Ovis aries: one gene and its partners. The protein of the gene in region 1 binds, or shares a complex with, the protein of each later gene. Links are inferred from orthologs where the notes say so. Each region holds a gene or a part of one and is shown on either strand. Other genes may lie near its edges.

What was found. The genes of interacting proteins can lie anywhere in the genome.
Region 2: the proteins of S100A4 (region 1) and ANXA2 are in contact, whole or in part, in a crystal structure (PDB 5LPU), measured with the Homo sapiens proteins. The link is inferred for Ovis aries from reciprocal best matches to the Homo sapiens genes S100A4 and ANXA2. Residues at the interface, in NP_002952.1 of Homo sapiens: Lys35, Leu38, Pro43, Ser44, Phe45, Leu46, Gly47, Lys48, Arg49, Thr50, Asp51, Ala54, Phe55, Lys57, Leu58, Asn61, Leu62, Gln73, Phe78, Cys81, Ile82, Met84, Met85, Glu88, Phe89, Phe93; in NP_001002857.1 of Homo sapiens: Leu13, Glu14, Pro21, Ser22, Ala23, Tyr24, Ser26, Val27, Lys28, Tyr30, Thr31, Asn32, Phe33, Glu36, Arg37, Leu40, Thr44, Gln69, Asp70, Phe73, Arg77, Arg78.
Region 3: the proteins of S100A4 (region 1) and MYH9 are in contact, whole or in part, in an NMR structure (PDB 2LNK), measured with the Homo sapiens proteins. The link is inferred for Ovis aries from reciprocal best matches to the Homo sapiens genes S100A4 and MYH9. Residues at the interface, in NP_002952.1 of Homo sapiens: Leu38, Ser44, Phe45, Leu46, Gly47, Lys48, Arg49, Thr50, Asp51, Ala54, Phe55, Lys57, Leu58, Asn61, Leu62, Ser64, Gln73, Glu74, Cys76, Val77, Phe78, Ser80, Cys81, Ile82, Met84, Met85, Cys86, Glu88, Phe89, Phe90; in NP_002464.1 of Homo sapiens: Thr1906, Ala1909, Met1910, Glu1913, Val1914, Ser1915, Leu1917, Lys1918, Lys1920, Leu1921, Arg1922, Asp1925, Leu1926, Pro1927, Phe1928, Val1929, Val1930, Pro1931, Arg1932, Met1934, Ala1935.

Annotation. Positions count from the first base shown.
Region 1 is NC_056054.1:104,001,921-104,005,851, forward strand, and holds S100A4 (protein S100-A4), read right to left. Parts: upstream 2,801-3,931; 5' UTR 2,643-2,800; intron 1,805-2,642; 5' UTR 1,790-1,804; coding exon 1,649-1,789; intron 639-1,648; coding exon 474-638; 3' UTR 338-473; downstream 1-337. UniProt on the Homo sapiens protein: Calcium-binding protein that plays a role in various cellular processes including motility, angiogenesis, cell differentiation, apoptosis, and autophagy.
Region 2 is NC_056060.1:48,019,923-48,023,422, reverse strand, and holds part of ANXA2 (annexin A2), read right to left. Parts: intron 1,817-3,500; coding exon 1,726-1,816; intron 815-1,725; coding exon 735-814; intron 1-734. UniProt on the Homo sapiens protein: Calcium-regulated membrane-binding protein whose affinity for calcium is greatly enhanced by anionic phospholipids. It binds two calcium ions with high affinity. May be involved in heat-stress response.
Region 3 is NC_056056.1:180,372,925-180,376,424, forward strand, and holds part of MYH9 (myosin-9), read right to left. Parts: intron 2,945-3,500; coding exon 2,732-2,944; intron 1,998-2,731; coding exon 1,853-1,997; intron 615-1,852; coding exon 408-614; intron 205-407; coding exon 100-204; intron 1-99. UniProt on the Homo sapiens protein: Cellular myosin that appears to play a role in cytokinesis, cell shape, and specialized functions such as secretion and capping. Required for cortical actin clearance prior to oocyte exocytosis. Promotes cell motility in conjunction with S100A4.

The DNA.
Region 1 (3,931 bases):
ACCTCCGAATCCATCCCAGCCTCAGTCAGAGATCCTGCCAGAGGCAAGGCTGGGGAGGTGGGATGGGTGAGAACACTGGCTAAGATCCTACAGCCAGGATGTTCCAAGCCTCTGGGGTCCCTTTCCCTGCCTTTGACCCCATCCAGAGTCGACTCTGTCCTTCACACACATGCACAGTCCCCCACATCCCTCTCCACTTTCACTAATCTGCTCTCCACTCTCCAGAAGACTACAGCTCAACTCCCAGCATCCTCCATTACCCCCTCCCCACTGGCCCCACCAGGCATCCCTCAGGCCCCACCCCACGCCCCCGGAGTTTCTCAGACCATCAGCCTCATAGCTTTCAAGAATCTTTATTGAACTTGTTCAGTATTGTGCTCACATCTGGAGGAGCCAGGGTGAGGTGATGCGCCCACCGCCAACAGGGAAGACCCCAGCTGGCAGCCCACCCCTGCCCCACACCTGAGGAGCCTTCATTTTTTCCGGGGCTGCTTATCAGGGAACCCTTCGAAGAACTCATTGCACATCATGGCGATGCAGGACAGGAAGACGCAGTACTCCTGGAAGTCCACCTCGTTGTCCTTGTTGCAGTCCAGGTTGCTCATCAGTTTCTGGAACGCAGCTTCATCCGTCCTTTTCTGCAGGAGGAAGAGGCTACAGGTGGAAACCGGAAGCGAGGTCGGGGTCGGGAAGTGGAGCAGAGCTAGCACCGGGTGAGGTCTGAGCTCCAGACGGGAGCTCAGGAGGACACAGGCACCCCTGCGGGGCCTGGCTCTGGACCTCCAGCCCTAGGGGCTAAGCTACCCCTCAGATGAAGTCTGAGGACCTGGGTACAACTGCGTAAAGGAGACCACAGCCTCTTCTGCCAAGGTCATTTTAAGAGTCCAATCATACAGTGGTCATGAAAGCAATAGATAAACAGCGTAAAGGTTGATACAGACGGCATCTGGGATTGCTCAAGAGAATTCTGTAAGTGTGTGAGTGTCTCCAGAGAACTGTATCTTCACGTCCACAAGCCAAACAGAAACTCAAAAATGGTTTATGGGGCGGGGGGATGGTGATAAAATAGAAATATGAGGTTAACAGATATACACTACTGTATATAAAAGAGATAAGCAACAAGGATTTACTGTATCACACAGGTAACTGTATTCAATATTGTGTAATACCTTATAATGGAAAAAAATCTGAAAAAATAGATATGTGTATATATAGCTAAATCACTTTGCTGTACACCTGAAATAAACACAGTGTAAATCAACGATATTTCAACTTAAAAAAAAAAGGCATATAACTTTCACAGAATCTTAAAAAAAAACAACAACAAGTTTCATTGCTGGAGTGATGGCAAGAGTTTGACCATCGCAGTTCATGATCTCAGCTTTAAACACGGACTTCCTTGGGAAGTTACTTAGCCTCTCTGAGCATCAGTTTCCCTCCAGGGAAGTTGTACAGAGCACCATACCCTATCTGCTCACTCTGCCCTCTTTCTGAGGGTGCTAGGAAGTGAGCTGTGGGTGCTCACCGTGCTTTGGCCCCAGGCAGCCAGGGTAAGCTCTCTGCCTGGAAATTGCCCGTGTCAGCAGCAGATGCCAGCTGTAGGTAATGCTTCACAGAGGACGGGTGCCTCCCAGGCAGTATCACTCACCCCTAAAAAGCTGGGCAGCTCCCGGGTCAGCAGCTCCTTTAGCTCAGACTTGTTGAGCTTGAACTTGTCACCCTCCTTGCCCGAGTACTTGTGGAAGGTGGACACCATCACATCGAGGGCCTTCTCCAGGGGGTACGCCATGGCAGCAATCAGGAGCTGGGGGCAGGGTCACAGAGACAACCTTATTTTCCCCACCCCACCCCCAGCTATGTATTTGTAAATGCCCCCCACTCCCATCCCTCAGGGAGCACATTGGTGACACTGCTCCCATCCAGAAAGGGGTTCAGCTCCTAGCGGGAGAGGGAAATGTATGCTTGGGGCAGTGAACCCCTGCAGGGCCTGGTGCTCAGGCTCCGGGTTCCAGGCAGCCAGCTCCCCAGGAGCACTTTCTCCACCCTCACTTGGTCCATTCACTCACTGGTACGCTCAGCCCACAGCAGCCCCACCCCAGCCCATTCTTTCCCCCTCCCAACACTGGGCTGGGTGAGGCTGCTGGAGGCTTGCCCAGGGGCCTAGCGGAAAAAACCAGTGCATAGGGAGGGGCAGGGTGAGGTGGCAGAGGCACGGATGCAGGGCAGGGACGGGGAGGCCACCCTCCCTTGGGCTGGGCTGCTGGTGCAGGACCGAGGCTCCTAGGACATAACCAGCCAGAGCCCACAGGCGCCTTCTGCCTTCACTGTGCTTTCCACATCCAAGTGTGCCACCCAGCAGACACCAGCCCACACACCCACCAGTGTGTACAGCAGCAACAACGCACGCAAGCCCCGGCATCACAGAACCCCTCAGACAGTTCCCACCAGCCACCTCACACTTGTTGTTCTTTCCTGAGTGCACACGCACTTGTGCACACGCACACCACCCACCCCAGAGCCTCCACATCGGAATCTCACATCTGGACCCGTTTAGTGCCTCTGGCCCCCATCCACCTCCCTTTCTCCTGCACCCAGCCTCGGCCTGACACCTCTTGCATGCCAGTCAGGCGACCACAACTCACCAAGAGAGAGGAAGTGCTGGGGAGAGATGATGGGGAGAGAGGAAGAATGGGGAGAACCCAGCAGTCTGACCTATTTATACCCGGGCCAGGCCCTGCCCATGGCAGGGGATGCGGGAGAACAGGACCCAGCCCTCCTATCGTGGGCTGATGTGGTGAACGCCACGGCCCCCCTCCACCCCCCTCCACCCGCCCAGCCTGGAAAGCTAGCTTCCTGCCCCAGCAGGCACAGACGGACATGGGAGAGCCCCAGGGGCACAGGCAGGGGCCTGGAGGGTGGGTGTGCACAGCTCAGCTCGAGTTTTAGGGAGCTGGGGGGAGGGACAGGTTGTGCCTGGGGCATGAGGGACAAGGAGGACGTGGTCCCACCAGGCAGCCAGCATAGAGGGGTGGAAGGTGGCAGGTGGGAAACTGCCCTGGGATGCGGCAGCCTGAGAAGACAGGGAGGGCCCCTCAGTTTCGGTGCTGGGGACGGCTCACGCTGCCCTGCACCCCTCCCCAAAGAGCTTCCTACCTTGTGGAGTGAGCCCCGGGACAGTGGGAGCTGGGGGTCTGGGAGGAGGAACTGGCTAACACCCAAAGGAGGCTTGGGGACCCCCCGCAGGCACATCCTTGCAGAAAGGCGCTGGATGCCAGAGTGATGGAATGGGGAAGGAGAGGCATGCCTTGGGGCTCAGGGATGGACTGAAGGGACCGAGAGCAGTGGGGTGGCAGAGGGCGTTGGGAGGGGGCTTAGATTTGGCAGAGGGCTTTGGGAGGGGGCTTAGATTTGGGCTGGGTGTCAGGGATGAAGAGGGCAGGGAGCGGAGGAAAGTTAGAGGTGATGCAGCACAAAATGAGGGGAGGCAAGGATCAAGGGAACCTCCCAGGGTAAGGTATGAGCTCAGGGGTTGAGGGAGGGTCAGGAGTCGGGGGTTAACCCCTCAGGTGGCTGTGGCTTCAAGGAGAGGGGTCTGCCTGAAGGTCTCTCTCCTTCCCCCTTCAGCAGCAGAGCACCCCTCCCCAAATGATCAGGGAGCAACACCCTAGTCCAACCCCTGATCAGATTAGTGCTGCACTCTGGGCTCTCATAGCCCAGGGGCCGGGGACAGACCCGCCCTCTCCCCTACGGCCCCACCCTCCTCCCAGAACATCTGGTCTGGGGGACTGAGTTTGACCCTCCTCTCACCTCCTTCACAGCCCAAGGGAGCTTCTTCTTCAGAGACCTGCCCGATACAGACAGACAGACAGACAGAGAGCCCCCCCCGCAAACCATCCTCCCATGGGCATCGTCCCCGAGTTGCCCCCATGCC
Region 2 (3,500 bases), on another chromosome or scaffold:
CCTGAGGCAGTTGAGGGTTTGTATGTGATACAGCAGAAATGAGTTTTGATCAGGGTATGAGTAAAACAGTACAAGTAGATTTCAAAATGATGGGTAGGTGACCAGACTCAGGGCAGGTGGTAGAGAAGGGAGCTGGGGAGGGCGGAATGGAGGTGTAGGTGGCCAGGATGGAGTGTGCCCACTTGTCTTCAGGGTTCCTGGATGAAAATTCCTCTTCCCTTGCAGCGCTCAGAGTCATTAAACTGCACATGGGTCAGAACTCAGACTTAGAAGGGAAGTGCCTTTCAGCTACATTAATGTGTTAACCTTGGCAAACAAGCAAAGAGCTTCTCCCCAGGCAAACCACTACCTGGGCAAACCATCCCCTAAGAAATTATAACAGGTGAAAGAAACAAGAGGGTCACTTCCCACTGGGTCCTATGTGACAACATAGAGAGGCAAAATGACTTTCCCCAAGTCACAAGGCTGGCACAGAAATCCAGGCCAGGAGCTAAGAGCTGCCTCTTCCACCTCTGGCCCCAAAGTCCACCTGACCATACGGTTTTGCAGGATAAGAAATCCTATTATACAAAAATGACAACTCTGCAGTTGACAGTGCAAACCCACTGTCAAAATACAGCTGGAATTTCTGATGCAGGCCCAGAGGACTGAGTTAATTCGCTCCCGAGTATAAAATGAGGTATGTAACTTGCTTTGGGAGGAAGCAAGGACAAAGAAACGAGCCGGAAACTAACCTTTGCGAGGGCGACCATCAGCTTGCGGAAGTCGCCAGATGTGTCGGAAACAATGTCCTTCTCCAGATCGGTCTTGTACACTTGGAAAACAACACATCTGGTTTAACACCTCCTGCCTACGCAGCCAGCCACCCTACCCATCCTCTGCCCACTAAGCCTCTGAAAAGCAGAAATCTGTGGCAGCGTGGATGTACCCCTAAAAATGAGGGTGGATTCTCAAGAAGGAATTTTACCCTCATAAAATCAGAACTAGTATTATTATATTATTATCAGTGACAAGCAATACACAGAGCAGGATCAGACAGGGAATTCTCAAGCTCGCCTTTGATTAGGGACCTCCTGTCTAGCTAAAATACTACTTCCCAAACTTCTTGATTATACTTATTTAGAACATGAAAAAATTTGGAGGACTACACACACACAAACACAATTGTGCTTTATATCCACTGATTGAGAAAATGCACAATGGCAAAAAATTAGTAAGAATTAAAGGGTACTTTTGAATGAATTTGTATTTTCCTACTCAACACCTATGTTGAAATGAAGTACCGCACACCAGGCATGCTGCATCACTCACTCCACCTCTGGCCTCCTCTACTGCTTGGCACACGTGGTTCTGCTGTCTCTTGAAACAATGACCCACAGTCAAGTCTGGGAATCGCCTCAGCAGACACAGGACAGCACTCAGTACATGAAATCCACGGGGGATACTTTCTACTTCTCCCCATCAGATCTCTTTTGTTTGATAGTCTCTGCTTTCCCTCCCATATATCCTTCTGAACTAGTTTTAGGGGGATGTAGTCACAAAGACCAGGCTATCAGGAGATGGAGGAGAGTGACCTGGTCACAGCAAACCCCTGGACAGTCCAGATGGCAGGTATTTCTACACATGGAATCAAGGGATCCTATCCTGAACACCAGACCAGGAGGCCAGGACAGTGGTCCCAGACACAAGGTGGAGTGGATGCACCATGGACCTGGGGCTACTCACTTTCCTTGTAGACTCTGTTGATCTCCTGCAGCTCCTGGTTGGTCCTTGAGCAGATGATCTCAATGAGAGAGTCCTCATCAGTCCCCAGCCCCTGGGAACCAGGCAGCACAGACATTAGCAGGGAAACCCCTCCCGGCCACTAGCCCACTTCTCTGAACTCAATCAGGTAAACTGCACGCATGAGTTCGGTCTACAGTGCGTCCCTTTCTGCATTCCTCCTGAGGGATCTGTACTGAGTCCTTGGCACAAGGTAATGTTATATTCTATTCCTTTAAAAAAAAAAAAAAGCTTTACTAGAATAAAGGACAGTTTAACTGGCATTTTTTATTTTTAGCTCAACTATATATATATATATATATATATACACATACACACACACACACACACACACACACACACACACACACACACATATATATATATATATATATTTCCCCACTATATATAAACATATAGTTAAATGGGAAGAGACAGTAATGGAATATACCAACATGTTAGAATACAGCCCTTTTTGGCGATGGGTTTATAAAATGAATAACTTCATCTTCTCTTTGTTTCTTTATTTTTCAACTCCTCTAATAATCAGCCATTATTTTCACAGATAAGAAATCATTTACTTTATTACACAATTCTGCTCATTAATTTAAAATAAAGGAATATAGAGATTTTGAGCTGTTGTTGGCAGCCAGCATTGTTAGACTGAAATAAGTCTTTTATGAGGGAAAGGTATAGATAAGATAAAATTTTTAGCTTTACCTCTTTGAAATGTAAAACTGGGTTAATGTTAAAAATTTCATTCTTGTACTTCCATTTTTGCTTGATTACTATGCACTCTTCAGGCATTTTAGAGAAGCAAAAGGAAATAATGAAGCGCCAAATAAACCTAGACACCAACACTTTATTAAGGAATGAGAATTTGATGGGTGATGTATTCAAATTTAATATATACACTTTTGAGCTGGCGTGCCAGATAGCTTGAAAGGACTCAGTGAAACATGTATTTCAAAGCTGGCTTCATGATCAAAGTCAAGATTTAATAATCAGGATTCTCTAATACTCATCTTTCCGAATATGGAAATATCACTTTGAACTAAGCAGAATTACCACTGTTTAAAATGTAAATCAATTATAAGGTGTTAATACAATAAGAAACTTACTTATCCACATGAGAAGTGTGTCAGCTATTAATTAAACTTATTAGAGTTTATGTGCCCCTGAAAAAGTAGTTTGTATAATATGAGCTAAGCCTCAGGTTAATAGTTAATTCTGAATTTTATTCCTCAATCTAATCTATGAGCCAAAGCCTCTTCTCCCAGAGTTTTTAATCATGATTTGTAGAGGTGCTTGCAAAACCAAAATTCCTTCCCTTAGCAAAAGGTCTACACAACATTCTATAAGAATATTATACAGAGACTACCAAGCATCTTCACATATTTTAAGGGGCAGTTTGTCAATCTCGAGGATGTAAATATAGTCTAAAAAATAACTCATGCATTGGAAGAAATGTTATTTCTTAACATTGTTGAAATGTAAAATAGGTACAGCAACATAGATTTGTTTTCTTGCATCACTGATATGCCCATTTTAACACAGGAAAATTCTGAGTGTTTTTTCTCTATATTTAAAAGTGACCTTGGCAATTTCAAACTTGGCCCAAGCTCTCCACAGACTGTCCACAGTTCCCATCACAAGGGCAATGTCTACTGTACCATACGGCAGATATTGCCAGTGGTACTGCCAGAAGTCAAAACAGATTTTTTTTTAAGCATTGTTCA
Region 3 (3,500 bases), on another chromosome or scaffold:
CTGGGGGAGGACACTGTGAGGAAGACCCAGAGGCCTGGCAGCTAAGGCCGTGTGGGCACAGGGTCCTTAGCTGCGGTGGGGGGGCATCGCTGCCCTTACCTGTGTGTCCTGCAGCTGTGACTCCAGAGCAGAGAAGTCCTTGGTGAGCTTGCTAGACTTGCTGTCCGACTGGGTGAGAAGACCCGTCACATTGTCCAGCTCGACCTGTGCGTGGACGGGAGACAAAGCCCCATGAGCTTGACCAGGATTGCTCAGGGCCTACCTCGGCTCTCTCAGCCATGCTGGACCTGAGCTACAGGCTGAACCCCAGGGGGCTCACAGATGAGCCGGGTCATGGAGAGAGCGAGAGAAGACCAGGGGCCCTGGCAGCAGGGGCCAGGACCCAGGCAGTCCGGTGGGGGCCTCACCTGCAGCTTGGAGACCTTGTCGGCCAGCTCTGTGCGCACACGCTCGCCCTCGGTGAACTTCACCTGCAGCTCCTGCAGCTGGGCCTCCACCTTCTTGCGCTTGTGCTCGGTGTCCGCCTTGCCCTGCTGCAGCACCTTCACCTCGTTGGCCAGCTCCCCTCGCTCATTCTCCAGGGTCTGCTTGGCCTTCTCGAGGTTGGCTTTCACCTGCGAGGGGAGAAAGCAAAGACATAAAAGGGGGAGCCTGTGACATGAGGCTGGTTTTCCCAACATCATCAAAGAGCCAGTGGAGCCAGACTCGGAATCTGCCGCCCTGCAGCAAAAGTGACACCAGGCAAGTCCAGGGGGCAGCGAGCTGGCGAGGACCGTGGACTTGGAGGGCTCAGGCCGGATGTGGACTCATCACCCAGCTGGGACAGGACGCCTGGCGCGTGGCCTCACCTGAGGACCACTGCTCCCCTGGCTCTCAAACCATCCCTGCCTGGCCTCCCGCACAGGGCACAGGGAATGTCCAAGGGCAAGACACTGTCATCGCTGATGTTAAGATTTTAGCATTGTTATTATAGGCTTAGGGAAACTGTAACTGTTCATAGTTAGACTTCCAGGAAAGCCTCTTAGAAATTTGATGTTCACCATAACACTGAAATGTTCTTCCAAAAAATATAAAAGCCAAGTTTACAGAACAAACACAATCCCAATCTATTCTATATCAAGCCAGTCACAGTATCAAAGGCAAGTTCAAGGGTAAACCAGACCCCAAGTGCATGCAAAAGCTCTTTGGGTGAAAACAGCTAGAGGAAAAGGCAAGGCTTCAACCTGCCCAGAACCAGGAGGAAGTCAAAGGGAAACAGAGGGACAAGGCATGTTTCTGAAAATATTGTACAGGCTGCCACACAGAAGAGCCTCTGTCTTCTTGGGCTACCAACAAGGGTGGCCGTGAGCTGGAAACCACAGGAGGCAGGACTGGGCTTGTTCAGGAACTGCCTGGTCACAGTCCCCTGGCTGAGAAACCAGCCGGGTCAACATCCCCAGGGTTCTCCCTGAAGATTCCAGTTGACCATGTGTTGGAGGTGTTCTAAAGAAGGGCTGGGCTTCAGGAAAGGGACCCAGTGGCCTCTGAGACTTGTTTCAGAGTCACTCCAATTCCATGAAACTTTGGTCTGGCAGGGTGTTGAACAGGATAATAATGGTAAGACTAGAACAACTTACTGAGCCCTTACCAACTGTGCACTGTCACATGTTACCAACTCCAACTCTCACGTAATTGCATGCAACGGGCTCTCACTAGCCTCCCTCACAGAAGAGGAAACTGAAGCACAGAGGGACCTGTATGGCCCCCAAGGCACGCAGTCAGGAAGGGCTGGAGCCTGGACTACGCGAGGGTCCCCCAACCCTCCCCCCCGCCCACAGTGGCCGAGCCTCATGGTCCCGGGGGGCCCACGCACCCGCTTCGTCTGCTCCAGCTGCTCAGCCAGCTCCTCCACGGCCTGCGAGTGCTTCTGTCTCATGTCCTGGATCTGGGCCTCATGGGTCCTGGCCTCCTCCTCAAGAGTCTTCTTCAGGATGTTCACTTCTTGTTCACGTTTGGACCTGAACAGAGAAATGCCTTCAGGAGGGAGGCCAGGGCCCAGGAGCGACGCTGCCCTGGCAGCACAGAGTCCGGTGGGGAGCACTGGCCATTCCAGGCAGCTTTCTGCCTGCTGGCTTCCCTCCTCAGCTGTCCATCCTATAGCACAGGCTCACAGACACACTTTTTTTCTCTCCATTAAAAAAAAAAATGTAATATAGACCTTTTATGCAAGGAATTGGATTTTATTCTAAATATGGGGAGCCAAGAGTAATTTATAAGATTTTTTTCTGGCTGCACCACAAAGCATGCTGGAGCTTAGCTCCCCAACCAGCGACTGAACCATGCCCGCTGCAGTGGAAGCACAGAGTCTTAACCACTAGGGAGCCAGGAAGTCCCCACAGACACACCTTGTAGGGGCTTCCGCAGCCTTTCAGCCTTAAAGCCCACCCTTGCCTCAGCCCAACTCCAAGCCAGGTTCTTCAGCTCTAGAGAGAAGCTGCTGAGGCACCATCAGCTTCCATCTGTTCTTGTTGTTCACTCACTAAACTGTGTCTGACACTTTGCAACTCCACGGACTACATCACACCAGGCCTCCCAGTCCCTCACTATCTCCTGGAGCTTCCAGGCTCCATGACAACAGGCCACACTGTGTGTGTGCAGAGGCCCTGGGGTCCCCCCTCTGAGGCCAGGGGCCCCCTTTCCCTGCACCACCACCCCCATCCTCAGTGACAAGGCAGTCAGCCCCAAGGCACACCTGAGCTCCTGCTGCGCAGCTGTGGAATCCAGAGTGTCCTCCAGCTCCGTTTTCAGAGCCTCCAGCTCTTCCCCGAGGTCTCGTTTCTGCTTCTCGGCTTTATTCCTAGCAGCACGCTCAGATTCCAGGTCTTCTTGGAGTTCCGAAATCTGAGATTCCAGCTCCCGAATCTTCTTCAGGGCCATGTTCTTCTGGGTGGTTTCTTCTTCCACTCTGCCAAAGAGAGCACCAACGTCAGGATGAGGTTGCTGTCACCTTCAGAGAGCAGAGTCTGCAGAAAAGGCTTAGAGAGATGCAGCCGAAGCCAGTCCTGCTGGTGACAATCATAGCCCCTTAGGAGCTCTTCTTGGCAAAGACACTGAGGCATCTGGAAGACTTAAGGGCTATTCCACTAGGAGACTTCAAAAGCCTCACAGAGGAAAAATTTCATTTTCCAAATTCAGTGCTTTAAACATTTTTTTTTATTGAAATGTTAAATGAAAAAACAAAAAGGAAATAAAATGCTACAGTCCATGATTACAATATCAAAGTAGAAACACAAATGTGCTCTGGACTTAGGGTGATAATCGAACATTAGAGCAGCTTCATGAGTTGTAACAAATGTATCACTCTTGTGGGGGCAGTTGCTAATGGCGGGTTCTTGGGAAATCACTACAACTTTTGCTCAATTTTCTTATTAACTTAAAAATGCACCCCCAAATAAAATCTATTTTTAAAAAGCATACCTGTAGCCATGAAATTTTATAAAAGAAAGAATTGCTGTGATTGG